Linked DNA regions of Nothobranchius furzeri. The protein of the gene in region 3 binds, or shares a complex with, the protein of the main gene of each other region. Links are inferred from orthologs where the notes say so. Each region holds a gene or a part of one and is shown on either strand. Other genes may lie near its edges. The genes, in order: smx5, lsm7, usp39, sart1, lsm6, snrpd3l and lsm4.

What was found.
Region 1: usp39 (region 3) and smx5 share a complex: the UniProt entries of both Homo sapiens proteins name them as parts of the U4/U6-U5 tri-snRNP complex. The link is inferred for Nothobranchius furzeri from reciprocal best matches to the Homo sapiens genes USP39 and LSM2.
Region 2: usp39 (region 3) and lsm7 share a complex: the UniProt entries of both Homo sapiens proteins name them as parts of the U4/U6-U5 tri-snRNP complex. The link is inferred for Nothobranchius furzeri from reciprocal best matches to the Homo sapiens genes USP39 and LSM7.
Region 4: usp39 (region 3) and sart1 share a complex: the UniProt entries of both Homo sapiens proteins name them as parts of the U4/U6-U5 tri-snRNP complex. The link is inferred for Nothobranchius furzeri from reciprocal best matches to the Homo sapiens genes USP39 and SART1.
Region 5: usp39 (region 3) and lsm6 share a complex: the UniProt entries of both Homo sapiens proteins name them as parts of the U4/U6-U5 tri-snRNP complex. The link is inferred for Nothobranchius furzeri from reciprocal best matches to the Homo sapiens genes USP39 and LSM6.
Region 6: usp39 (region 3) and snrpd3l share a complex: the UniProt entries of both Homo sapiens proteins name them as parts of the U4/U6-U5 tri-snRNP complex. The link is inferred for Nothobranchius furzeri from reciprocal best matches to the Homo sapiens genes USP39 and SNRPD3.
Region 7: usp39 (region 3) and lsm4 share a complex: the UniProt entries of both Homo sapiens proteins name them as parts of the U4/U6-U5 tri-snRNP complex. The link is inferred for Nothobranchius furzeri from reciprocal best matches to the Homo sapiens genes USP39 and LSM4.

The regions. Positions count from the first base shown.
Region 1 is NC_091756.1:60,995,362-60,999,571, reverse strand, and holds the start of smx5 (smx5), read right to left. Parts: upstream 2,801-4,210; 5' UTR 2,724-2,800; coding exon 2,721-2,723; intron 2,532-2,720; coding exon 2,464-2,531; intron 2,136-2,463; coding exon 2,105-2,135; intron 2,019-2,104; coding exon 1,959-2,018; intron 1-1,958. UniProt on the Homo sapiens protein: Plays a role in pre-mRNA splicing as component of the U4/U6-U5 tri-snRNP complex that is involved in spliceosome assembly, and as component of the precatalytic spliceosome (spliceosome B complex).
Region 2 is NC_091748.1:58,320,411-58,324,505, reverse strand, and holds lsm7 (U6 snRNA-associated Sm-like protein LSm7), read left to right. Parts: upstream 1-1,337; 5' UTR 1,338-1,441; coding exon 1,442-1,447; intron 1,448-1,687; coding exon 1,688-1,778; intron 1,779-1,877; coding exon 1,878-1,949; intron 1,950-3,178; coding exon 3,179-3,321; 3' UTR 3,322-3,595; downstream 3,596-4,095. Other genes in the region: kelch-like protein 23, read right to left, coding at 1-18. UniProt on the Homo sapiens protein: Plays a role in pre-mRNA splicing as component of the U4/U6-U5 tri-snRNP complex that is involved in spliceosome assembly, and as component of the precatalytic spliceosome (spliceosome B complex).
Region 3 is NC_091757.1:46,431,441-46,434,234, reverse strand, and holds the end of usp39 (ubiquitin carboxyl-terminal hydrolase 39), read left to right. Parts: coding exon 1-125; intron 126-276; coding exon 277-419; intron 420-868; coding exon 869-1,004; intron 1,005-1,377; coding exon 1,378-1,464; intron 1,465-2,043; coding exon 2,044-2,094; 3' UTR 2,095-2,294; downstream 2,295-2,794.
Region 4 is NC_091744.1:19,554,456-19,558,702, forward strand, and holds the start of sart1 (U4/U6.U5 tri-snRNP-associated protein 1), read left to right. Parts: upstream 1-1,447; 5' UTR 1,448-1,776; coding exon 1,777-4,089; 3' UTR 4,090-4,247. UniProt on the Homo sapiens protein: Plays a role in mRNA splicing as a component of the U4/U6-U5 tri-snRNP, one of the building blocks of the spliceosome. May also bind to DNA.
Region 5 is NC_091744.1:10,586,904-10,590,893, reverse strand, and holds the start of lsm6 (U6 snRNA-associated Sm-like protein LSm6), read left to right. Parts: upstream 1-1,190; 5' UTR 1,191-1,279; exon of another isoform or gene 1,280-1,320; intron 1,321-1,340; exon of another isoform or gene 1,341-1,445; intron 1,446-1,690; 5' UTR 1,691-1,702; coding exon 1,703-1,796; intron 1,797-2,609; coding exon 2,610-2,723; intron 2,724-3,087; exon of another isoform or gene 3,088-3,202; intron 3,203-3,990. UniProt on the Homo sapiens protein: Plays a role in pre-mRNA splicing as component of the U4/U6-U5 tri-snRNP complex that is involved in spliceosome assembly, and as component of the precatalytic spliceosome (spliceosome B complex).
Region 6 is NC_091746.1:48,714,974-48,718,978, reverse strand, and holds snrpd3l (small nuclear ribonucleoprotein D3 polypeptide, like), read right to left. Parts: upstream 2,801-4,005; 5' UTR 2,669-2,800; intron 1,879-2,668; 5' UTR 1,864-1,878; coding exon 1,738-1,863; intron 951-1,737; coding exon 758-950; intron 375-757; coding exon 310-374; 3' UTR 179-309; downstream 1-178. UniProt on the Homo sapiens protein: Plays a role in pre-mRNA splicing as a core component of the spliceosomal U1, U2, U4 and U5 small nuclear ribonucleoproteins (snRNPs), the building blocks of the spliceosome.
Region 7 is NC_091748.1:65,762,208-65,766,336, forward strand, and holds the start of lsm4 (U6 snRNA-associated Sm-like protein LSm4), read right to left. Parts: upstream 2,801-4,129; 5' UTR 2,664-2,800; coding exon 2,661-2,663; intron 1,852-2,660; coding exon 1,810-1,851; intron 1,325-1,809; coding exon 1,226-1,324; intron 721-1,225; coding exon 540-720; intron 460-539; coding exon 353-459; 3' UTR 1-352. UniProt on the Homo sapiens protein: Plays a role in pre-mRNA splicing as component of the U4/U6-U5 tri-snRNP complex that is involved in spliceosome assembly, and as component of the precatalytic spliceosome (spliceosome B complex).

The DNA.
Region 1 (4,210 bases), on a different chromosome or scaffold from region 3:
CAATAACAGGCAAGGAGAAAGACAGCTGCAGGTATCCACAAGGTCTGTTCTGTTCCGTTTACATTGGCTACGGGGGTTTCAAAGGAAATGATGTACGTCTATCTGAACGTGACTTACTTAGAACGTTTTGGGATGTTTGACACCGCCTCTGTGTTCGGCTTCCTGTCCGGCCGGTTTGATGGTTTTGGAAGGGTAGCACATAAACAAATAGCGTAACGATGGCGTACACTTTTGCCACTTACACACTAGCCGCCGGTAGAAAGGAACCTATTCGCTATAACGGTGGCTAATTTCAGCGAGGTAAGTTTAGCGTCCATTTCATGACGCTTTCACGTTCGGTGGAAAGCTCATTCAGTCTAACCCTTGTGGTAAAGGTGAGTCCTCGGAACGTCCGAGTAAACGTATTAACTAAAAGCATCTTTGCTGCAGAGAGTGTTAATAAAACACAACCGTTTGTGGGCTACAAATCCACAGGTTTGTGAGTTAATCTAGACTATTTAAAAATCACTTTTCCTTGAGTTTTTATGACTTCAGGTAAAAATAAAACTAGTTTGTCAAGATTTGATACATTTTTAAGGAGATACCCATGAGCAAGCCAAGTTGTGAGTAAGTATGGTTGAAATAAATTTCTAGTTAAAAACCCATTTACTTTCAGTTGTAGGGCTGAGATTTTTTAAATGTGGATATAATTTCAAACAAGAAACCTGATGACTCAATATCTTTACATCAATATAAATATAAAAACAGTGAATTTCTAGCATTAGCAGGTGCAGCTATTGCTATCCACTAGCTTGTTCTGTCTCTATGCGATCATTACATGTATTCTCACGTGTCTGCTCGATCAGGAAACCTCTAGGTCAATTTTCTGCCCTAAACTTTGCATTTGGATTAGTGGTTTTTAATTATTTGGGGACATTTGTTCGTGTTTTAGTGAGCCTTTTCACTACGGATGTGTATTGGTGAAATTGTGGCGATACGATACGTATCACGATACAGGGAAGACGATACGATATATCACGATATATTGCGATACATTCAGCCAGACGATATCAGCGATTTTTTAGACTGAATTTATTGTAGAAAATTTCAATAAACAGTCCAAACTGATACTTAACATGTTAAACATGAGGTATCTGAACCATAATAGAGGGATTTATATTTCAGTGGTGGAAACAAAACCCAATGCACACTGCTGCTAGCTAGCGGTCAGTGTTTGAATTGCACCAAAAGAAAAGAAAATACACAAATGTTTGCATGTAAACTATTCCAAAAAGTTCAACACATGGCTTTTGGATATCAATATAATATTGCAGGAAAAAACATCACGATATATTGCCATATCGATATTGTCTTACATCGCTACTTTTCACCGTGGCTGCTGACGGAGATTTATTTATCCTGCTGGTGCTGAGAGACGGGTCAAACCAGCGGCATAAATATCTAAACCTACATGTGTGTTAGCATACAGCTGTACAAGTGTTTCTACAGCTCAAACTGATAGAGAATGGCACTTAGGTTGATGTTTGACAAGAATCTGATTAAATTGTGCATTTAATCTGCTGATGAATTTATGATTACACTTTCTGTAGACAGCTTGAAGGGAGTTAACTTGCAAATATTTACAGAAGAAAAAATATGGAGGTATAATATTGTAAAATTGGAATTCTGCAAAAGGACACTGACAAATAAGTTTTCATCCAGCCCTATTAAGTTGTATTTTTATTTTCTGAGGACTAGAGGTAAGGCTTTAGTACTCGACCTGAAAACAAAACAAAAATCTGTCGCATCTTTGGTTTAAGTGAATAATCACACCTTTTTACCAATTAGAGGGCTGAGTTTGTGTTTGTTAACCCTGCTGTGAATGTGGAAAACACTCGTAGTGAGATTAGCCTCAGATTTCTACAGACATCTGAAGCAACGTGACCTTAGGACCGATGTGTCTCAAGTATGCTACTTACCATGTGTGGATATTTCTCTGGATCCGTCACACTGATGTCTGTCAACTTTATGTTCAGGTACTAAAAACCAAAAAGAGTAGGAATGTAAATGTCAAAAAACTGCAGAAGTTTGTCTGAAAGAGTTTCAAAAAGTGTATTTTCAATACCTGGTCAACAGAATGAAGCGTTCCGCAGATGCTGAAAACAGATGTGTGGATAAATATTCAAGAAAACAAACATTTGGACACTTTTGAATAGGCTACATGGCTCGTTTAGCTCGGTTGCCTTAATTTCCGAGTCAGACTCGTGTAGAAACGTCGCAGTACTAATAAGCTACAAGTCCATTGGAATATACAAAGAAATAGCTCAAGCTTTAGCAGAAGTTCATTCAAAGCTTCGCGTTTAGAGACCACTTGTTTCCAACGTGGTGCTACAGTGGGTCGAATTGCTAGCGTTCTTTCCTGCAAATGAACAACAGCTTCAACGATTTATCACAGCAGTGGAGGCCAAGCCGTAAAACACTAACCTCAGATCGTTCTTGAGCTCCACCACTACGTCCTTCCCAACCAGAGACTTGAAAAACGAGTAGAAAAGCTGCGGAGCACAACGACATGCTAACGTTAGCGTGTAGCTGCACGCTACACGTCGAGCACGACAGTTTATGAACAAAGAGAGAATGGAAACACTAACAGTTACACAAAGACTAAGGTAACGACTTATTTAACTGTCATGTGTTTGGTGTCATGCTAAATACATTTTGAATATTGAACGAGGTTAGCTCACCATTTTTGCGGTAGCTTTGTTCAGTAGTCGCGTCCGCTTTTGATGACGTATCAGGGAGCGCTGCAAATACAGACAACTACCACCAGGGGGAGCCAGAGGTCTTCAACATATTCAGCTTGAATCGTATCCATTTCTTTGACATGTTTTGCTCATAATTAATCAACATTGTGTTTTTTTACACACTTAAGTGTGATTACAGCATCTAATTTGCCTCTGAAAAATTAAATCTGCCTTAATATCACTTTGCGTAACAAACCCTAATAGTCCACGTCCCTACACACACACACACACACACACACACACACACAGAGAGAGAGAGAGAGAGAGAGAGAGAGATATGTTAAAATAAAGAAAATCTCACTCTGAGACTTTTAAAGAAGTCGGCAGCCCTGGTAAATAGGATAAACCTATGTGTGCCTTACCTACGTATGAAATATATGTAAATGGCCCTATTTTGCCCAGCTGTGTGCAGCAGGTATGTTTTTCTTCTAGAATAATGAAAACTGGTGAAAAATAGGTCTAAATCCTAATCAGCGTTGATTTAAATTGTGATTAGATGACACACATTTAAACAGATGATGACAGATGTGCTCAAACTTGTAAACAGCCTTAACCCATTAAAGCAAGGACATAAGATAGTCTAATAATTAGGTGATAAGATAAACCCAGCAGAGAAAAGAAGTCAGTCTAACAGTGGGATAAAATGCAACAAGATTTATGACAAGCTCACATTTGGCGTTTGTCTGCTTCTTTTATTAAAATAAATAAATGAATAAAAAACGGAAACTGGTATGGTGCAAAACAGGACAGAATGGTTGGTATAGAGATGAGTTCCCTTGTTTTATCTATTTGTTTCTACTTCAATGTTTTACCCCCTTTGCACTATTTTAATTGCTTTTATTTTCTATTTATTCATTGTGATTTATGTTTCTTATGTACTGTGTACAGCACCTTGGGCTCCCTGACAAGGTCGCGGAAGGCACTTTATAAACAAAGCTTTGAGTTGAATTGAATTCACATTTTCTTCAAAAAACTCAAGGTCCGGCTGTAAACATAAAAACTCTGCAGCAAGGGAAGACGGTTTCCTCTTATATGAAAAAGCCAGTCGTAGGAGAATTGATCCCTGGTGGGTACCACATAATTCAGTCGGTGCCTTAAAAAGTACCACATCTGGAATCCATCCCTACTCCTTATACTGGTCACCCTGGTGTGGGAAGGCTTCCAGTCTCAAACCAGTCATCCATGCTGATTGCCTTGGTCCCTCAGGTTCAAGCAGGTATAGTCCCATCAGTGTCTCTGCTCTCCAGTCCCATCTGTCGGTGGTCTCTGATGAACTGGTTTTGGCCCAGACTGTGTGCAGAATCTCACCATGATCTTTCTAGAGGAGTTCACTGGTTCTCAAAATTTCTGCTAGCGCTTTGAAACCTATTTTTTATTTAAAATAAGGTCAAACCAGGGCTGAAAGTTTAACGATTAAATATGTTTTATTT
Region 2 (4,095 bases), on a different chromosome or scaffold from region 3:
TAAAACAGATTCATCCATGTCTGTTTTGTTGTAGCTCACGTAGAAGTCCCCTCTGCAGGCGGTGTCATTGCAAACAGCCTCACCAAAATATCTTGACCTACTTGTGGTTTGCAACCCACCAACTGGTACACAGTCAGGGTTTATTAATAGTAGTCATGTGTGGGTCATGACCAAGCTAATTCAGTGTGCTGGCTTGTTCATGTCAATGACTGGAGCAAGCTCCATGCTGAGAGCCTTTATTGGTTATTGATTTTTTTCCCAATAACAATACTGAAACTCAAAAAATTAGAATATGGTGCAAAAGTTCACTTATTTCAATAATCCATCTTAGACTGAGAGACCATCTAAAGGCTCGGGAACCCTTTGCAGATGTTTTTGATTAATTAGCTGGTTAGAGTGCGACACTTTGAGTCTAGAGTATTGAACCTTCTCGCACGTTCTGTTTGTCTGAGATATTTAGTTTTAGATGTTTTCGTAAGCTGTAAGCCATAATCATCACACTTATAACAAATAAATGATGGAAATATCTGGTTTTGCATAGAATGAGTTTATCTCATGAATTTGTTTCACCTTTTAGGTTTTTATACTGAAATCAATAAACTTTTGAACCATGTTCAAATTTTTTGAGTTTCATCTGTATACATTTTATTTTAAAAAGGGTTTCATTGTGGGGCAGTTGGAAGCACTGGTGACTCACAGGAACAATGTCATAGGTTTAAACCTTGGCTACGGCCTTTCATTCTCTCCATGCATGTGTGGGTTTGCTCTGGGTACATGCTCCTCCAGCAGACCAAAAACATACAAGCTGATCGGCAACCCCAACTGTCTTTAGTTGTGAACTCAGTATTAGCATAGTTTTTAACACTGTTACATACTGTTTTGATTGTGAATTTAGCTAAATAATAAACGAAAAAGGCTGTTAGAGCGAGTTTCCCACTCGCTGATAACAAAAGTGTTATAGCGTTTTATTTAGAAAGAATTTACAGGCAGTTTTCTCTTCTCCATCTCCATCAACCAAAAGAAACAAAAATACAGATTATGATCCCCCCCCCCCCCCCCCCCCAGTTTCATTGCCATGAGACTAGAACGTTCCCTTCTAGCTTCTTAGAACCTGATTGTAGTTGCAGTTTATCCCCACTGGAGGGCGTAGATTTCTTCTGAGATTGTAGCCTGTAGCTATTAGCTAACGCACAATGCAGCTGAGAAAGATGAACGTTTTTCCCAGCCTGACAGCGTATTAAGACAATCACATGAGTGTGTATTTAACTCATTACGTTTTAGTAGAGATGGTAGTCCCGAGACTTTTACAAAAATCAATATTGTTTCATTTTACTTTTTATGGTCTACAGCTGGACCTCTCTGAACCCTCTGAACGCGTTATCTCATTGGATCACTATCATTTCCTAGGGTCTAAGATTTACTTCCGGGTCAGACAGTAAATATGGCGGTGAGTTCGTAATCCATGGCTTTCATTATATTGTGTTACTTTTTATCTTTTCACATCCACATTTGTATTGTTAAGATTTAGCTTTGTTTTCTGAACAAAAGTCGACTTGAACAACTTTTATTTTGCTGTGACGGTAGACGTTTTACTTAAATAACGTGGCTAGTAGTGAGCTAAGCTAAGGCTACGTTTTGTTTGTGATTAATTAGTGACTTAAGACAATGTAACCTGGCCTTTCTGCAGGATAAAGAAAAGAAAAAGAAGGAGAGCATCTTCGACTTGTCCAAGTATATCGACAAGACGATTCGGGTGAAGTTTCAAGGTGGACGAGAGGGTGGGTGGACCAAGCTGTTGCTAACCCTTTCATTTCGTGCAAGCAGTAAATGTCTAGATTTCCTTATGTGGAAGCCTAAAATTTGTGTTTTCTTCTCAGCAAGCGGCGTTTTGAAAGGATTTGATCCTCTGTTGAACCTGGTGCTGGACGGCACGATCGAATACATGCGTGGTAAGAAAACCAAAACTCAAATCCAGCCAGAAAACTGCTCCTCAGTCTGAGTCCATGTTTATATCGATGAAGGACTTTTCCTGAACACATTCCGAAGTTCCCCAACACACATAACTATAAAGTAATAATTCGCATTAATTTCGCCCCTACCGTCATCTTTAAAACGATCTACAGTTAGTGAAAATAAGCATGTTGATCAAAACATTATGTTCATGTTCAGAGCATGTTTAAGAGACATTTTTCTACTTCACTTTTTTGAGTTAATTTGTTTTTCAGTAAATTATCAGGAATACGTGTGTGTGTGCGTGCGTGCGTGCTAATCTTGTTTGACAATAAAAGCAACATAATTTTAGATTATCTTCAGTGGACGAACATTACATATAATTACATGTAGACAAAAACATGTTGCTGCTATGTTTAAAAGAAGAAAATTCACAGGCTCTAAATAATTCATTCTAAAACATCAAATAATCCGAGAGATTTTCTGGGCTTCAAATTGAAAAAAGGTTTCCAAATTTTCAAATCACGCCCTTGTATGTAAGATTAATTTTTCAGTTTCATAAAATTAAGAAAGTCTGTGTGTAAAAGCATCTGTGGAATTGTTTTCTTTTTGTACAAACAAACAGAAAACATTGTGTAGACACCTCTCTACTGGAACAGTGTGTTGTTTCCAGGTAAAGGTAAGTAGCTGGTTGTGTTTTTTGTGCTCTTACCCTGTAAGGTTACTCCACCTATCTCCTCTACCATCACTGTGGATTTGTTGAAAATGTGATGCTAGTTTGAACAAACACTGGAAAAATGCTCAAGTTTCTAATTCTCAGTTTAGTGTTTGGAGGGGAGGGTTGAGCTAATATTCAGAGGAGTCATGGAGGCCACTCGGGTGGAACAAAAACCAGAAACATGTGGGGGGAAATTAAATTGATTTAAAAATCCCCAAACAAAAGATGAGTGGCTTTTTTCAGTTTGAGGTTTGTTCTTTAGTGGTCGAAGCAGATTTTTAACAGTGATAACAAATCAAATGTTGTTGGTTTTTTATCGCTGTTACAAGTGGTCGTCTTGTGTGGACTTAACATCTTTGAAAAATACATCTGAACTGAAGATGGTCAAAACAAAAAAATCAAAGGTCTCACCATTCATGTTTTAGTTTTGAGTGCATTCCGGTAAAATGCTTGGTGGACACCCAGCTGCTTGACATTTCCAGTGTGAACGTTCTGTGGCTTTGTGTGCAGATCCAGACGACCAGCTGAAGCTGACAGAAGACACCCGACAGCTGGGGCTGGTGGTCTGCAGAGGAACCTCTGTGGTGCTGATCTGTCCTCAGGATGGCATGGAGGCCATTCCTAACCCATTCATCCAGCAGCAAGATGGATAACCCCCATGCTGCTGCGTGGCACACTTTTGATTAGACTTTTCTTTTTTAACATTACAGGACACTTGTCATTCAGACGACAAACATGTTTTAAGTTCATCACTGGTAAAATAAGGCTCCGTTGCACTTCAGTTTTATTTCCCTGCTAATTTTGCTCATTTTTGTGTTGTGAGGAGCTCCCAGTTCTGAAAGTGTTAAAACAAATTTCTTGTTATCTGAGTGAACTTTTTACTATTCTTTGTTTTTGATAAGAAAATAAAGTGGAAAAAAAGCTGAATCTGAATGTTTTTCTCCTTTGAACACAGAGGACGTGTTGGAAAGTTACACCAGATATGGTCTATTCGAAAGGGTGACAAGGATCTGAGTGGTTTTGTTGACCCGACAGACGTCCCCTACCTGCTGGTTGTGACTGACTCGATGGGTCTACAGACTACTGAACTCTGCAGTAAAAAAAAAGATGAGTGTGTTTAGGTTTAAAGGGAGTTTCTGTGTTTGAAGATAAACCGTTCAAGCTTGTCTGCACACTCACAAAGACACATATGTGGCATTAACAGCTTTTAAGTCAGTAATGCATTAAGCTGGGGTGGGGGTGTAAAGTAATGATATCTATGGATTGTTCCTTTTGAAAGAAAGGATCTTCAGTAGATTTTGGCGTTGGAGAAACGCAGAAACAAAATGCTGATGAGTTTTAAGTGAGATAACTGAAGCTGTTTTTTAAAATGGCAAAATTTTTACTTAACTGGATGTGAAACCTCCTAAAAGTAGGTTAGAATAGTG
Region 3 (2,794 bases):
CCTTCCTGTTTCTGACCCTTGACCTCCCAACAGCTCCTCTGTACAAGGATGAGAAGGAACAACTTATCATCCCACAGGTCCCTCTATTTAACATCCTGGGCAAGTTCAGTGGCACCACAGAAAAGGTACTAACCCCTTTACTGACTGATGCTGAATTAATAACATAAAGGAAGACCAGCCTGTAAATTCTTCAACTCAAGTATTGAAGTGCATTAATGTTATTCAACAGGAAATAAAATGGAACTAATGCACATGTGCATGTGATGCTGTTTGCAGGAATACAAAACCTACAAAGAGAATTTCCTCAAAAGATTCCAGTTGACCAAACTGCCACCGTACCTCATCTTTTGCATCAAAAGATTCACCAAGAACAATTTCTTTGTGGAAAAAAATCCAACAATTGTCAATTTCCCGATCACGTAAGTTGTTTTTGTTTACTCAGACTAGGGCAGTAAATCGAACACTTATCGTTATCGAAATTTCTAACTCTAACCGATATCATTGTTTCCATGTCAGTAAATTTGGTAATAAAGATGGAAAGATGTGTGTAGGTTGGAGACAATCAAGTCCTTTTAAGAAGCTGAACCACCTTGAATCACATGACAACATGACTCAAAGTAATACACGTAACAGCCCCATCTAGTGGACAACTTCTGGTTTTGTGCATACATGTAGTTATGGTCCATTTATAGTTATCAAGGCTAACTTCTCAATGTGCCGTGATATGGATTTTAGGCCACATCGCCCATCCCTAACTCAGACTTTTGCTTAAACACATTTATAAAGTTCAGCTTACATCTGCTGTTTATTATTTTAGGCTAAACTACACGTTTAAATGTATTTTGAACTTTGCTGTTTGCTTCAACAGGAACGTGGACCTTTCTGAGTATCTGACAGAAGAAGCTCAAGCTACAGAGAAGAATACGACTTATGACCTTGTTGCAAATGTGGTGCATGATGGGAAACCCACAGAGGGATCATACAGGATACATGTCCTGCATCATGTAAGCTACAGCTGACCAGTTTTTCATGTGCACTGGGATCAACGTAGCATCTGTGTCCTGTTCTCTGAGTCACAGTAGATTTCAGAATGATAAATGACCCGCACTTGTATAGCGCCTCTCAGATTAAGGACTCCAAAGCTCTTTACAGTGTATCATTCATCCATTCACACACACATTCACACACTGATGGTGATGAGCTACGATTTAGCCACAGCTGCCCTGGGGCGCACTGACCGAGGCGAGGCTGCCACAGGGCCACAAAGTAATGAAAGAATGTGGCCTGAGTTTCTGATGAGTTTTCTGTCTGTAACAAAAGCTTTCAGTTGTGTTTTAGTGATCTACGGCAGAATAACTGAATGCTTTGTTTGACCAGGGGACAGGGAAGTGGTACGAGATGCAGGACCTGCAGGTCATCGACATTCTTCCCCAGATGATCACGCTGTCAGAGGCTTACATCCAAGTAAGTCTACCCTATAAGTCTTAGTATTTACCTGCGAGTTCGAAGAATTTACTTTTTTCCTTTAATGAAAACATTTGACTACAATCTGAAGAATCTGCTGTTTGTTTACTTCCTGAATTTAATTAGTTAAAGGCTTAACAAAGTATTGGGATTTTCAAAACAAAAGCCTCATTGTTGGCTCTAAATTCTAAATGTATGGCATCAGACAGTTGTTTTAACTAACTATAGTTTTGTTTTTTACAAAGGAAAACAACACAAATCTTCTCTTTCTCAGCTTTGCTTAAAGGTTTTGTCAAATTCTGAGAAAAGAGCATAATGGAAATAATTGACAATGACATTGTAGACTGAGTGCAATCATCACAAACTTTACACAGAATATAATTAAAATAAAATAAAGCTTCAAACCACATAACTGACTATCCAACCTGTTACTGAGGAAAAATAATCTAGTTATTGATTAAAACCATCTACTCAGTTGCTTCTAGTGTGTACGTACTTCCTAAAAAGCTGTTATTTGGTATTATAATTTAAAAAGGATTTTCTTAGTGTTTTTTTTAATTGTTGCCCTTTTCTTGCCAGATTTGGAAGAGACAGGAGAGCAGTGACACAAACAGCCACACGGCGGAGTAAGTGCTGCAATGTATTTCCCATCCTGGGTGGCGTTTCGTTTCATCACAACTCTGGAAATCAACTCAAATCTTTAAATGATCTGAAGTGCAACAGAACTTTGTTTAAAGCGACACAAAGCCTTGAAATGCAGAAGTTCTTTTTTTGTGGTTTTATCTTTTCACCTTGTGGAGTTTTCTAAATAAACCACCTTGAGGACAAAAGTCTTTGTAAATGAAAGCTTAACAACACAACCTTTAAATTAGGTTTTATTTGTATTTGATCTTCTTCACCAGCTGCCGGAAGAGCAGCAGCACAATCAGAGAGGAAGCATCACTAAAGCCGGGCATACACTGTGCGACTTTTTCACTTTTTTGAGCCAATTTTCCACTCGTGTGAGAATCCACAAGATCGGGGCGAGTTTTGCGCCGAGCATCGTGTAGTGTACGGGGGGTTACGAGAGGCGATTAACACCATGTGACCAGCTACCGATCAGCAATCGTGAGCTCGCACGGACTTCTGGCGTGTTTAATATTTTGCTCGTCCCTCGTGAGGGTATCGCACTGTTGAAGCGGCGCTGCGAGCAGCTGCGACACAAAATGGATCAGAACCGCTCACGGCGCATGTGCAATCCTGCATCAATGCCGCTCGCCCGCTATTTCCCTAATAACACACGTACGTTTTTGTTTCTACACGTTTTTTTTACTCACAAATATTGTCAAGA
Region 4 (4,247 bases), on a different chromosome or scaffold from region 3:
GCTAACTGCCTGGACCCAAATGGCTAACAGAAGCAGCACGATGCTGTTACAAGCAAGCCGATTTGTCATTTATTACTTGGGCTCAATCCATCGTGGGGGGTTTCGTGCTAAAAGACATTTCAGCCATCCAGGTAACAATTTCTTCTATTCTTTCTTATCCTGGCATGATCTGACGATTCTTACTGAGGGAAACACGCAATTCACGTATCTATTATCCTAGGTGACATATTCAAAGGTTTTTTTAATACACAAAATAAAGAATAGTGGTAAACTCGTGTATAGATCTATTGAGAAACTCGCAACAAATGCAATTACAAATATTTTGAAAGATAATTAAAATATCTATTAAGAACTTGATGAAATAGCATTTGATTCAAACTTTATTTATTGAAATACAGCAAGGCAACAGCACTACCACTGTGCCAACATGCAGCCAAAGCATAACAGATTCAAGTAAAATTTAAAATGTAGTATGTATAAAAATGAGTGAAATTAACATGTGAACTGATATGATATCCATAATGTTACACCTACTCCTACCCTAGGATCCACCCATCCCTTCCTCTATTCCACTGCATCTCTTTGTGCACTTCCATCTATGTTGCACTCTGATTCATTTCTACACTATTTTCGCATACTCCTCTGTCGGAGCCTAGTGTTCTTTCCTCTAATCAGTTTATCGTTAGAATCAGATGCAAGTACTGTTACATCCTTGTTTATAGATCGTTTTGGACAAAAGCATCTGCCAAATACATTAGCACAATGCCCTTTTTGATATCTGGAGCTCAATACAGATAAATGCAAAAGCTGAAGTAGAAAAATGTAATTTGAAAAAATCCTTAATGCTGTTGTTGGTAGACAGAAACCATTGCTAGACATCTGACTTTTTCTCTTTGTCTGAGAAGAATTAATTTTGATGTATATCTGAAAGTGATAAACATCCCAGCCATTAAATGTTCAAATGACCGTTTGGAATCAAAAGCATTTTTAAATACTCTAAACCTGGGGGTTTCCAATTGAAATATCAATTACAGTATTAAAATGTGTTTTTACTGATCAGAATGCACTTCTAGATATTATTTCAGTTACGATAAGTAAGAAATACATTTTGATAATGGGAATTATTATAACTTTATCTAAAATTTTAAGTGAATGGAAATGTTTTGCTTCATTAAATGCTATCACGGCTTGCTAAATACAGCAGGTTGCAGGCTGCAACCTTTGCTAAGCTAACAAGCTAAAGTAAAGGAACTGCGCCAAAATAGAGGAGATAGTAAATCGCTGTGTTGCACTTCGTGTACTTTTTGTAAAGTATCAAACAATTTTCCTAAAACATTTAAAAGCGTTTGTTTGTCAGTTAATGTCCGGTTGTTAAAGCCCCAGCCAGCAGGGGGCGATATACAACCAGGGCGAGCAAAGTTTTTTCTACCACTTGACTTCCGGAAACGAATTCGTTGTCGTTGTATGTTCGTTTCGTCGAAGTAGCAAACTTAAAACGTGGTTGTTAGTATTTATGCTGGTGCGAGGTGCTACAAATAAACAAACCAACGAAACTCCACGTATTTTCCACCGATGCTGGATATCGAAAATATGATGCAGTTTTCCCCGAAATGAGTGAGTTTTGACGTGGCTAACCCTTTAGCTTTTGAAGCTAACTCGACCTAGTTGGGAGAAAAGTTCGCGACATTTACCACATCAATACAGCTGAAGAGACTGCGTACGCAGCTTGACTGTGACGGAACTACGACTCTGGAGTTGTAAACAGCGGACGAAATCATGGGTTCTTCAAAGAAACACAAGGAAAAGAGTCGCGATAAGGACGCAGAAGAGCGCCGTCGTGAACATAAGAAGCATCGGCACAAAGAACGAGAGAGAGACAGAGATGCCTCAGATCGGGATGGAACTCGAGAAAAACGAAAACGCTCCAGGTCCAGGGAAAGGAGCAGACGGGATAGTCGCAGCAAAGGGGAAAAAAGCAGTGGCGAGACTCGTATAAAGAGGGAGAAATTGGATCCTGGCTATGAGGAAGGCAGTGCAGAAATACAGCCTCAGAGTGCAAGTGGAGATGCTTCCCTCAGCGTCGAGGAAACGAACAAACTCCGAGCCAAGCTGGGTTTAAAGCCTCTGGAACTCAATGAGAACAAGAAAGAACTTGGAACCAAAGAGGAGCCACTGGTGGCTGAGACCATCAACCCTGTTCTCATCCAGCAGCAGAAAGAGATGAGGGAGAAGCTTGCAGCTATGAAAGAAAAACGTCTCCTCAATCAGAAACTGGGCAAAGTCAAAAACCTTGCAGATGATGATTGGCTCGATGACACAGCCGCTTGGATTGAAAGAAGCAGAAAGCTGGCACAAGAGAAAGAAATGGCAGAGAAAAGAGCCAAACTTCTGGAAGAGATGGATGAGGAGTTTGGTGTCAGCAATCTGGTTGAAGAGGAGTTTGCTCAAAGTAAATTGGATTCTTATTCTTCACGGGATCTCAAAGGCCTCAAAGTGCAGCACAAGGTTGATTCCTTCAAGGAGGGCCACACTGTCATTCTGACCCTGCAAGACAAAGGTGTCCTGGAAGAAGAGGAGGATGTGCTTGTGAACGTGGGACTGGTGGACAAGGAAAAAGCAGAAAAGAATGTGGAGTTGAAAAAGAAAAAGCCTGACTACAAGCCCTACGAAGAAGAGGAGAGTGTGGATGACATGGTCACCTTTAAGCCCCGCACTGTACTTTCAAAATACGATGAAGAAATTGAAGGTGAAAAGAAAAAGAGCTTTCGTTTGAGCACATGGGGATTTGCTGATGGGGAGCGAGAACGGGAGCTGCAGGCTATGAAAGAAACGCTGCAAAACCAGGCCCAGTCTTTGGAAATGCCTGCTCTTGCTATCGCTTCGGAGTATTACACGCCTCAGGAAATGGTTGGCTTTAAAAAGACAAAACGCCGTGTGAAGAAAATCAGGAAGAAGGAGAAGCAGACAATTGCAGATGAGCTCCTTGATGACACTCGCAGCTCTGACTTTGGCTCCCGAGCACGAGGTCGGGGCCGCAAACAGGACAACGAAGAGGAGAATACAGGCAAGGGCGAGCGTTGGCCACATGAAATCCCCCAAATGTCTGATGACATCAGGACGGCAGAAATGGAAATGAGTGATGAAGAAAACTTCACGCCTCCTGAGCCAGCTGTAATTGAGGAGGATGAGGCAGAGCAGGAGCTGCAGAAACAACTGGAGAAACAGAGGAAGCTGAGGCAGAAGCAGCTTCTCAAAGACTCCGGGGAGAAGGTGGCAGAGCAGATCAGACGGTTTGTTAAAGGCGGTGACGAAAATGATCCTGACAAGAGGAATAACATTGTCTTCAATGCCACCTCTGAGTTCTGCAGAACTCTGGGTGATATTCCAACGTATGGACTGTCTGGAAACAGGGAAGACCAGGAGGATATCATGGACTTTGAACAGGAAGAAGAGAAAGATGATGCTGGAGATTCAGACTCCGAAATGGATGAAAATATTGGGTGGAGCACAGTTAACCTGGATGAGGAGCAAAATCATGCTGAATTTTCCACAGCCTCTGCCACTATCCTGGATGAGGAACCCATCGTGAACTCTGGCCTTGCTGCTGCTTTACTGCTGTGCAAAAATAAAGGGCTGCTGGACACGCAAATGCAAAAGGTGGCTCGTGTCAAAGCAACAAAGGGGTCCCTGCCTAATGACAACTACTGCATCGAGGACAAGATGGGCTTTGATGATAAGTACAGTCGCCGGGAAGAATACAGAGGCTTCACGCAGGATTTCAAGGAAAAGGATGGATATAAACCCGACGTCAAAATTGAGTATGTGGATGAGTCTGGGCGCAGACTCACCCCAAAAGAGGCATTCAGGCAGCTTTCGCATCGTTTCCACGGCAAAGGTTCTGGAAAGATGAAAACTGAAAGGAGGATGAAAAAGCTGGAGGAGGAAGCGCTGCTGAAGAAGATGAGCAGCAGCGATACACCTCTGGGGACGGTGGCTTTGCTTCAAGAGAAACAGAAATCTCAGAAAACGCCGTACATCGTCCTCAGTGGCAGTGGGAAGAGCATGAATGCAAACACCATCACTAAATAAATATGTAGGGGAAAATGATTATTGTTGTAGCTCTTTTGAGATTATTGCTAGTTTATGGTCTTGCTTCAGTGTTGATATAACAATAGTATAAGAAAATCAGTACAGGTGTAAACTATTTCATTTGTCTTGTGAATTTCCTAAAAGAACAATAATTTAAA
Region 5 (3,990 bases), on a different chromosome or scaffold from region 3:
CGAAGTTGGTTACTCGTTAGAATAATTAAAAGAATTATTTGTTTTCATACACTTTATTCATAGACTTCTTCACAACTACAAAAAAGTTTTCCATTGGTTCAATAGTTTTTGTGATGTTAACAAATGTTTGTTATAATAAGAAAATATTTCACCAGGCACATGTTTATGTTTATGTTTATGTATTTAGCAGACGCTTTTGTCCAAAGCGACTTACAAGTGATGTGTTTATAAGAATGAAAAGATGTCTTTTTTAAGTGCACATCATAGACTGTACATACTGTGCACATTTTCCCATTTCCCCAAGATTCACTGATTTCCCTCTTTCCTGTTCACTCTCTCTCTCTCTCTCTCTCTCTCTCTCTCTCTCTCTCTCTCTCTCTCTCTCTCTCTCTCTCTCTCTCTCTCTCTCTCTCTCTGTCTCCCCCTCTCCCTCCCTCTCTCTCTCTCTCTCTCTCTCTCTGTCTCCCCCTCTCCCTCTCCCTCTCTCTCTCTCTGTCTCCCTCTCTCTCTCTCTCTCTCTCTCTCTTTCTTTCTCTCTCTCTCTTTGCCTTTTTAATCACAATTGTCTATTTTTGCTTATTTTGAACATATTTTAAATCATTTTTTGAAACCTTTTTTATATTTTATATTTTTGTGAAGTGCCTTGAGATTTTTGTCTTGAGAGGAGCTACAGAAAAGATTGTTTTCTTTCTTTCTTTCTTTCTTTCTTTCTTTCTTTCTTTCTTTCTTTCTTTCTTTCTTTCTTTCTTTCTTTTAAACGTTTGAACACTTACAGATCAAGAAGAAAGAAAATGTACCTGAAATTGGAATAGGCTTATTTGTGCATATCCCACATTACATTGAGATAAATTTTGAATTTGTAAAAAGAATAGTAAAATAATACAATGAGACATTCACATGAAATATTATGTTTTTACATATTTACAGTAGTTTCTCATTTTCTGTATGAATTTGTTACATAATAGAAATATTACTAATGCTTCAGTTTATTCAAAGTATAACAATGCACAACAAAACAAAAAAACTTTAGTATATTATAATATGAAAGCCAGTGGATATAATATTAATTACAACATATTAGAAATACATTTATAGAAAATAACTTGTTAAAGGAAATGGGTATATCGTATTTTTAAAATGTACTTTTAAATATTCTTGTTTTGTCTATCGAATTAAAACTTTGCGCTTTCAGGACATTTGTCCCTACATAGTTTCCGTAGTCCTCCAATGTGATTGGTCAATGCGCCGAACATAAAATCGTTGTGAGATCGTTCATCCAGTGAGTAACTTGCTAGCTCGGTGTTCGCATCTGTAAAACTAGTAAAACATCTATTTCCTATCTTATTAGGATCTGTTATGATGTAACAATACCTGTACATTGTACTTTATTGTTAAACAATCTCCTACGCTATTAGAGGCTAACGAACTGACCCACGGAATAGCTGGTAGTTAGCACTTAGCTCGCTAGCTACATAGAAGCTCATTTGATAATTTGAACGTTTTAACCGTACATAGTTTTGCATTTAGGCGTGTACTATCTGGCTACAGCTATTCGTTTTAATATTCTCGGGTTTGAATAATGCCTTTGTTACTAGATAATCAATTATAGCTTAAATGTGTATTAGGGTAATGCTAATGCGGTTCTTTATTGTGATAAAATGAGATTTACTCATCTGTTTTATTCTTTTAGATAAAAGCGAAAATGAGTTTGAGAAAGCAGACCCCGAGTGACTTTCTGAAGCAGATAATTGGGAGACCTGTCGTGGTCAAACTGAACTCTGGTGTTGATTACAGAGGTAATGCAGCTGGCATCAGGTGTGGGAATGTTTAGGGTTCTCAGAGTTTGATTAGGTTATGAATCAGAGGGTTTGTTAAGCAGTCATTGATGCATCTTTTTACGCCTTCTGCCTCATGTTTAGTTCTAGACAATGACCCCCTGACAACTACTTTTAATTTTTAATGATCTTTTAATTCATTACAGTTAAGTTCTTTATACAGGCAGACAGGAAGTTGAATGATGTAATCCCATATAGGATTAGAAACTATGAAACAAACACTAACTGAAAAACAGTTAAATTACTGCAGTTAAACTCCAGTTAAATGCTGAGTAATTGGAATAAACTTGAAAAGTTTCGTGAGGACCAAATTTTGCTTTAATCTTCAACAAACTATTTGTGTTTGTGTTGATATTAATTCATTTACCAAGCTAAAGAGAGATTCACACAGGTTACACAGATACATGGAGGAGGAACACTTTTTGACACAACACTCCTACTCAGACATCTTTGTTACAGTTTAAAATGTTCAGTTTTTCAGTATTTGATGTATTTATTTCTTCAGTCAAGACTCAAACTCCATCCCAGTTGCACACCATAATGTGCCACACTTCTGCACTTCAGATGTCTGCCTTTTACACTCACCTAAATAATGATCATTATTAAAATCTGTTTTGATAATTTTTGAATGAATTTGTAATGGTTTATGTTTGCATCAAAATGCATAAAAAACAGTATGCCCCTCTTCCCTAGCTGGCACGTTCAGGTCTGTTGTTGTTTTATTGCCCAGGTAAGTTTATTTTTAATCTGAAGTTTGTGTTTGTCTCTGAGCAGGTGTTTTGGCCTGTCTGGATGGTTACATGAACATCGCAATAGAGCAGACGGAGGAGTATGTCAATGGACAACTCAAAAACAAGTATGGAGATGCCTTTTTGAGAGGAAATAATGGTAAGATTTGATGTTTTCACGCTGCAGGGCGTTATACAACACCGTTTTCCTCTGTTACTATAGCTCCAAGTCATATTTAATGATTAAACATTCCAGGTTATGAAGGCTGTACATTTGCCATGATCTGAGTCTTTGGTGCAGTCAACTTCCTAGCCTCATTCTTATTAGCTCACAGAGACAACATTATTACACTGTGTGCTCTAATAGATCTTTCAGTTGTTTAGGTTTTTTTTTTCAATCCAAAGTGATTAGAGATTTAAATTTGTTGACAATTTTTAAATGAAACTTTCAAAGTCATGCACCACAAGATGTTTATTTTCATTTTCTCATTAAGCATTTTTGCACCTCAAACCTATCTTTATAGGAAAACCACAAGATATTCCCTTTTAAAGTTGGGAAACTAACCATGTCGGAGTTATACAGGAAGCTCACTTCCGATGAAAACATCGAGCCCCTTTGTTGCTGCTTTGAAAAAACTGGTAAAATGCTACTATTTTACAGCATCGTTTGTTAATTAATTCATTATGTTACATTAGAAATGTACTGATTTAGCTTCTGATGGCAGAAACTGATTTGTGTTGCCTCAAAGTGATACTAATTTTGGGTGATTTTTAAATATAATATGCTGTTTGAATTTAAATATTAAATAGAATATTTTGGAAGTGTAAACTTCTACATTAATAGGGTTAATAAGTAGGGTTAGGGAATATTTTGATACCTGTGTGATTTTTGTGGTGCCTCTCTAGACTGAGCAGATACAGCTGCGACTGACTACTAGGGATGCACCGATGGATCGGCATTTGATCCCAACTGGCCGATAGCGCCCCTATCGGTTTTGATCGGAGTTTTCAAAATGGATCAAAGCAGACCGATCAGGTAGGGTTGTCACGGTAACCGGTGTAGCAGTAAACCCCGGTAAAATAAAAAAAAGTTGACAATAATAATAACCGTCCGTTTTTAAAAAAACTATATTATCTCGGTGGTTTACCGTGGCTGCGGTGTAGGCGCGGTGACCCTTACCAGCCACCGTATCATCTGTTGAAGTTGCCAGCGGCACATGCGCACTTTGTTGTTTACAACCAAAACTTTCTTGAAGCTAAAGCTGAAATAATGGCCAAAGGAGGAAACGGCAGCGCGCAGGACATTTATTATACCTCAAAGAAAACAAAGTGGGAAGTACGGGCATTTTTTGAATATTTGAAGAATGCCGAGGGACAGTTTATAGAAGACGGCTATCCTGTTTGCAGCACGTGCAGAAAAAGTGTCT
Region 6 (4,005 bases), on a different chromosome or scaffold from region 3:
ACTAGGATAAATATGCAGTAAAATGCTTTTCCGTGGGTAAATGTACAAATTTTACTTGCTAAAAGGTTACAATACACAATATAAATGAAAGAGGTGGGACTCAAAATTGAATAATACTACAAAAAAAGGGCTTCAATGGGGCAAAGCACAGCAAAGGTTCAGTCAAGAAGAGCAACACTGAGCTGAAATCTGTTTATTTCATACAAAATAAAAACAGTGATAAATTGTAGAGCAAAAGACTGCAAAGTAAACCAAAGCATAGTAAATCCAAAAGATGACATCAAACAATGAAATTTAAAACAAAATAAGTTATCGTCTCTTCTGGAAAATGTTGCCTCTCCCCATTCCACCACGACCTCGTCCTCTTGCAGCCACTGTTAAAAGTAAAAATAAAAAGTCAAACTCCAAAAAAAGGTATCTCTTTGGTCTGGAAGAAATGCCCCCCCACAAATCCCTATTTTCCCTACTCAAATATTTTGACTATGTTGGACTTCTACAAGAGAAGAAATTAGACAATACCATTAAACATTCCTTTGAAAAAGCCTTTTTTTCCCTTTATATTAGATAAAAAAGAATTGGGATCTGTCTTTCAAACCATTCCACCTCAGAAAATGTGAGAAGTGTCCACATAGAACACTGTTGTTACCTGTAAAAAAAAGTAATTAACAACTATTTAAGAGCCAAGCAGCTAAAGAGGGAACTAAACTCTAGCGCTGTCTCAGCATCTGGAGAAATTGTCCAAATGCTTCTCACTCACCTTGTGCTTTAAGAATAGCTGCCTTTCCTCTTCCTGCCCCAGAGCCTTGGTTCTTGTTCTTCATACTCTTTAACATCGGAGCATTCTTTAACATGTCCGGTAGGATCAAAAAGCGGATCTTGCTGCCGCGAATGTAGACCTGTTCCAACTGTGCAACCCGGCCATCGCGGTAGGTCACGGTGATGTTGGACATCTGTAGGGACAAATTCAAGTTTAGGTCCACAACAGGTGAAATGACCGTGTGAGCATCCATTAATCCAGTTCTGTTACTTATCTGGATCTTGGTGCACACAGGTTACCAAACTAGCATGGCTCAAATGTAAATTAACATTTCAGTTTATTCAACCCTTATAAAAATGTGTGCTGAAATAGAATCCAATTGAAGAGTGATGTTACTTTAGACTGTTTATTAAATTATGATGCAACAACAGAGTTAAATAACTGACTGAACTGGGTAAATCATGAAAGCTAAAGACCAACTTAAAATGAAAACCCAACATAAAAGCCTTTCTGATAAGAATGCTTTAATGAAACACTTTTACAAAAAAATAAAACTCTTCACACCAAGCATCCATGTACACCATTGTTTGGCCAAACGTTTTGCAATTTAGGGGAACACTAATCCCAAACACAAATTAGTTTACCAGTAATTACACAAACAAAAGCTTTTATGACTACATACCCCACAAAAAATCCACATTAACAGAACACCTTAAATGCCAAATTTACTGACCCAAGTTATTGTGAGTGCACAAAATAAAAATTAAATATTTTTTTTAATTTAACCCATTAAAAAGCTGCAAGAAAGGCAATTTGCAAGAGAAATAAAAACAAAATTTATTCAGGCAGCAGATGGGATTGAAACAAGCACTGACTGGATGTTTATGATCAACAGTATTTTGAAGGCTTTTCATTGACACTTTTCTTGACAATTAAAAATCACTGGAACCCTTTTAAACCATACTGCTAAACAAACCAACCTGGCAGTTCATATTGTCCTCTGCTTCTATCAGCTTGCCCCTGTACACCTCTCCAGTGTTGGTCTCACAGGTCACAATGTGACCCTCTGCCTCATGCAGGACCTTGATTGGTACACCGATGGACATGTTTCAAAGCTTTTCCTGGAACACAACACACAAAGCAAAAGATTATACGTGCTCACCCACAGAAATGTCTGCTCTTAAATATTGGCAACCCAAATCCATTTAACTTTATTGGTTAGCCGGGTTGCCCAGTTTCCAGCACTGAAATCTACAATCTGCATTACAACTAGTAGGAGAAGCAACAGAATAAGGCGAGTGAACTTTTTCATGACTGTGGATTAATACTAGTCACTGAAATTAAGACAAATAAGGAAAGACGCCCTGGGAAAACAGGTTTTGTGCAAAAAGCCATAACAAAAGAAGTGTTGTGAACCCGAACGCTACATTAATTGAAACTTTCATGTGGGACATAGTATTTAGACTTAACTAAAATGAAGGTGTTTTTATTATTTAGCATGAATTTACGCAGTAATACACTTTATAACATTACTAGAGAATAAACGATTTCGCTTGGGTATTCTCTTTTTTTAAGAGTCTGGTGGAGAATGTTTGATAGCATTCTAACCGCTAGCTCAGTTAGCCATACTAGCTAGCAAGGCTACAGGACAAATTTATCTAGAAACTACCATTAAACAATTCCAAACAGTAAATATGATTGGCCGTAAATGCTATTTACAGTTTACTACGATTAATAAGCATAGTTAAATACCTAAATATTTTACAGTAACATACGGAGTTTTGAAAATGCGCGTAACCTTAGCCATGCTACACATGAACGAAATAAATCGAAATTTCTAAATAACGAAAACCAATAGAAGAATGAGAACTCCGTTTCCTCAAACTAATTAATGTTACTCCTGTAACTTACCTTGACTTGTTCGTAAGAGTTATTTGCTTTATTGTTATTTCTTCTTGAACTGCAACGTGCGTTTGACGCTTTCGGGATCCTTTTGAGCCTTTTTTTCCGCCTGCAACGAAGGGTCACAACGAGTGTTTCCGGTGGCACCTACCGCGATGCATTGTGGGACACGTAGTTCAATAACGCCCATGGTTGAGGACTATTGAGTATGTACAGTCTATGGGACTATTATTTAGTGAAACTGACAAACTCAGCTTCTTATGTAGAATTATTTTTTTTATAAAGACTGAAACACATAAAATTAAATAAAATAAAAACTAAAATTATAAGAAACTATTTACATTTTAATCACGTTTCCTTAATTTATAATCTGTTTTTTACTTGTATTTGTTTTTAATTTTTTATGCTTGAGAAGCACCTCGCGATTTTTATCTTGGGGGCGCTATATAAAAGATTGTTTCATTCTTTCTTCTATAAATGTTGAGTTATGATGGAAATGAAAATTGATTTTCATTCTCCACAAGTAGAACATTGCATTTCTAAGAGGACTGAATATGTGTTTACGTACATCTGACTAAAGTTTAATGAATAAACTTGATTTCCATGATTTTGAAGGAAATCAGCTGTTGACTACATTTTCTGCATCGTCTAATGACGATGGGCAATTTATGCAGCTACACCAGACACTGAACTGTATTGTTTTAAAAAGCAAATGTTGATCCAGTAGCAGGATTGATTTGCATTTTCTTTCAGAAAAATAGAACAGTTTTGCATTACTTGTCATCTTGGCTCCAAGTTGACATTTACAGCTTTACATGGCTTTTCATAAAGCAGCTCAGTGTTAGGTACTTTTTAAATTCCCATGGAACATTGATCCATCATTGAATCACCCACAACAGTATTTTTATGATCTGTATCTCATGCAAATCAAAACAGCATTAGACATAAAAACAAAACATTAAAATGAACTAATTTTATCTATTTTTACAACACTGAGTATGGCCACAGTGTACTGCACAAATGATATGCAAAGAACTAGAATAAACATAAAGTACACATAATATACATACCCGTGTATGTTTGTTCCAGGAGATGTGTCTCGGGGATTGCTACGGGACACATAAAAGTGGCCTAATGCAGGTCTGTCCCACATTGAAAGAGCTTTTTAATGGGGAAAGAGAAGGCATAATGGGATAATAAAAGACATCATCAAATGAATCTTCATTTGATTTCCATTGCATTTGGCTCATTGACTGGCGTCAGCAGCCATGGCTGATCTGTAAACACCTTTCAGTGAGTAGTTTGTGGTTGGGCACTTTACGTGTGTGTGTGTGTGTGTGTGTGTG
Region 7 (4,129 bases), on a different chromosome or scaffold from region 3:
ATGCCGTCTTATAAAGGTTTAAACAGAAATATTCAGGAAGTGAGTCCTGTTGGCTGTCGCTCTACTGCTTCACCAGCTGTGGTTATAAAGAAAATCTTTCAGATAACAAAGCTGGAAGTAAACTACAGAAATGAGGAAAAAGCCAGTTAAAATATCTACTAAACTAAATTTGGGCCTCGACTTTTCTACACCAATAAAAAGGATTTAAAAAAATCAAACTAAAGTATTATCTGGCAACAATCGGTTGTTGTAAACATCACAACAGAGAGAAACAGCAGAGTTGATGTCATTGTTACTGAGGCAGACGTCCCTCAACAGGAAGTGTTTAAAACAAACGAAGCATCATTGTGTGTCAGTGCTGGTTTTTCATCCCCTGTGGTTTTCCTGCTTTCTTATCCTGCTGCTGCTGCTGTCCTCGACCAGGCCCAGACATCCCTCTCCCACGACCACCAAACACACCTACAGGAACAGCTGTGTTCAGTCCAACAAATCAATTCTACATGAGTTCAAAACCAACCTGATCAAACGGCATCCTTCACCTCGGCCGGGCCCTCCTCTTCCTTTGCCCTGTTGTTTATTCTGCTGAGAGCCGCCGCGACCTCGTCCTTTCGACACCACCTCCTCCCTCACCATGTCAATGATCTCATCTGGGATACGCAGATATTTGATGGTGCTTCCTCGGATGTAGCACTCAGGCATCCTCCAGAATTTATCTCCATCCTGTAAAAAGATGGTGAGAGTTTCTGTTTAAATTAAATTCCTCAATTAATAACACTTCTATTTTGCATTTATGTTAATTTACCTAAAGTCTAGCACAATAAACCCGACTGAGGGGATAATAGGCAAATGATCATGTTTAGTTGTGATCACCCATCTTTCTTTTGTTTACATGTACAAAAACACCACAAAGCTGCACAATTTAAAAATTATTACAGTCACTGATGGTCCAGTTAGCGCACTGTGTCTGTTCTTACAGTCACTATGAATCAATCATTGTATCTCAGCTGTTGTCTGAAGCTGTTCTGATAGTTTCAGTGCAGGATTCTGCAGACTTCTCAGTTCACATAGGCAGGCTGTCCTTCACAACACAGTTGTGCAAATATACTGTACATACAAATGTCTCATGAGAGACCAAATATGAAAGCACATTAAGCAAATTAAAATATTTTGGTATTTTCCCTTTGTCAAAAGGTCACATTTTATTAAAGGGAGAAGCATGTTTCACCCTGGATGTGCAGATGACTTCTCTCAGGTTGATGTTCATCCAGTTGTCACAGCTGACCAGGTGACCGTTGTAGGTCTCTCCATTCTTCAGCTCCACCAGCTAATAAAGAGCACACTGCTTTATAAGCTAAAAATCATACAATGAGCAAGTTCTAATAACAGATCAGACAAACTAAACTAAAGTCAAGAACAAAAAATTAGCTCTAATCATTAGCTAATTAGAGTGTGACTCTTTGAGGCTAGAATATGAACCTTTTCACAATATTCTAGTTGTCTGATATTTTGAATGTGGGGTTTTGATAAGCTGTAAGGCAAAATCATAACAAATATAACAGATAAAGGCCGAAACATCTGGCTTTGCATGTAATGAGTCCATCTCATACATTAGTTTCACTTTTTAGTTCAATCACTGAAATAAACGACCTTTTGCACCATACTGTATTTTTTTTAAGTTTCACTTGTAATTTACTAAAGCAGGTTATTATTTACATAGAGAACAGATGCTTCTTCACATAACTAATGACACAGCCTAAAGGATACAATATTGTAAAGAATATCAGACTTAAAATCAAGGTTTTGCCTCACCATGGGATGATTCTGAGCGGTCTTTAAGAGTGACAGGGGAAGCTGAAAATAAAACACCAGATTGAAATCTAATTTAACAGAATAGACCTCATTTACAGCATTATTTCTGACGCATAATAAACCGCATGAAACCAAGAATCCAGAGTCTACTGGAGAGCAACCACCCGATCAGAGGCTCTTCACCACCAACATCAACAGTTTTACCTTCAGACAGGAGGCACACACTTTCCCACAGCCACCAGACTTCTGAACAGCTGAGCTCCTGACGCTTAATTTCTACTTGGTACATTAACATTTCAGTCTGATTATTAACCTGTTTACTTTGTACCTTTATCTGATACTGGGATTATAATCCGCCTTTAACTAACTGATACACGTTCCAGCTAATGTGGGACATTACTTGCACAAATGTGTGCAACAACTCTGCATAGTTTCTTTGCAGTTCATATTTTGATTAATTTACTGTATTTTGCATGCTTCTTTAACTTTTTAAAATCTAGTTTTTACACCCAAACGTATACATTTGGCATCCAGTGTGAGGAACAAGGTAATTTTTGCTGTTCTTATGAGAATATAGAGTAATTCACCCCGAACCCATAAAACTACAGAATTAAATCAGGTCATTTAAACACGTTTATAACACAACAACACTTCTGAAGTTGTGGTAGGTCTACTGGCTCCTGAATAAAGCTAAATGTTACGGTTTATTTTAGCTACATGCTTAGCATCTTAAAGCTTTCACTTCGGTATAATTTATTAAAAATGTTAACACGGTTTCCGTCAGCCGAACCAAAGATGACCTATTAAAGAATACATTCTCAACTACCCACAACTAGAGGTTAGATACTCACCATTATGACGGTTTATAGCTTGTTTTACGCGGCGAACCTAAGGCTGTGGCGAATGGTCGAATCCAGCTTTCTTCTTCTTCTGGCGGTCGAATCCAGCCTGGGGAAAGGATTTCCTTTTAGCCTTCTGCGTTTTCTTATTCTACTACAAACGGCGGCTTCACCACAGCACACTGCCCCCTAGCGTCGAAACCTGCACTTTCTCTCCGCGCGTTTTATTTTGTGGCCACACTGAGACCACTGTTTAAACTTAAAAGTGTCTGAATAGATCATTTTCTTAATTATGAGAACAAACAAGAGTCTTCCGAAGGAGTAGTTTGAAACCAGCAGAAAATATAAACAGTGCTAAAGTTTCATTGGTAAGTCACTTTGATCAGAAAAGCTTTTTTACAGTAATTTATAACACATAATTATGAACACACTCCATATTTTAATCAGTTAGAACGTGATGAGAATAAATGAGCTCAATAAGTAAAAAATTTTTTGTTGATACTTCATAATTTATTTATTGGTGAAGATATTATGTGATGCTGTTAATTGTATAGGCCTGACCGCAGTAAAAGGCTGCAGCAGTCTTACTAAAGCCATAGCTTTCATAAAAATTATATCAAATTATTTGTCTTCAAGAGTGAATTTTGCATAAAAAGACAAACATCTTCAAATGGGAGGACATGGCCATTGCAAAGTGGTAAATTTTGAAATTGCCCCATTATACTAAATGTTAAGAGTAATAAACCATTAGAGGTGTCAGTTAAAGATTAAATGCACCATAACGTCTATAACTAACAATGCACATTCTTGGCAGGTTGTCCTGCACAGATCCTTGGTGCTATATTTTGTTAATGTTGTAAAGTTTATAATCTGAGTTATTTGTGCACTTGTAAAGAATGAGTCGTTTCCATCTTACTTATGAACCATAAAATGTGAGATTCCATAGAAATATGAAATATCAATCTGATGGATCTTTGACTACATTTTTTTTTCAAAAAGTATATTTTATTAAATTTTCTGTGTACACCTTTTACACAGTATTATGTTGTATATTGAAAGTACATTCTGTATAAAATCATCAGGGAACAACAGAACAGTAGAACAATATAACAATTTTGGTTGTGCTTCGGCTTTTGGCGATCCTCTCCAACGTAAGAGCATATATAGTACTGAAGGCAATATGCACATAGACATGTTTAACAAAACTGTGAGCAAGAAGTCCCCGAATTACACCTCGCTTTTGCTTCTCCCATTCCAGTCTTAATGCTGGTCAGAAGACCGAGTATTTTCCTATACTCTCCCACTTTATAAGTCCTCAGATTTTTATGTCCATCTTCTTAATATATGTTAGAAAAGGTGTCCATATTTTGTCAAATAAGTGTTGCTTGGCTTTTAAGATATAAGTAATCCATTCCAGCGGCATTACCTGTAACATCTGTTTCATCCAGTTCTTCACATTGGGTCTATGGAGAGATTTCCAT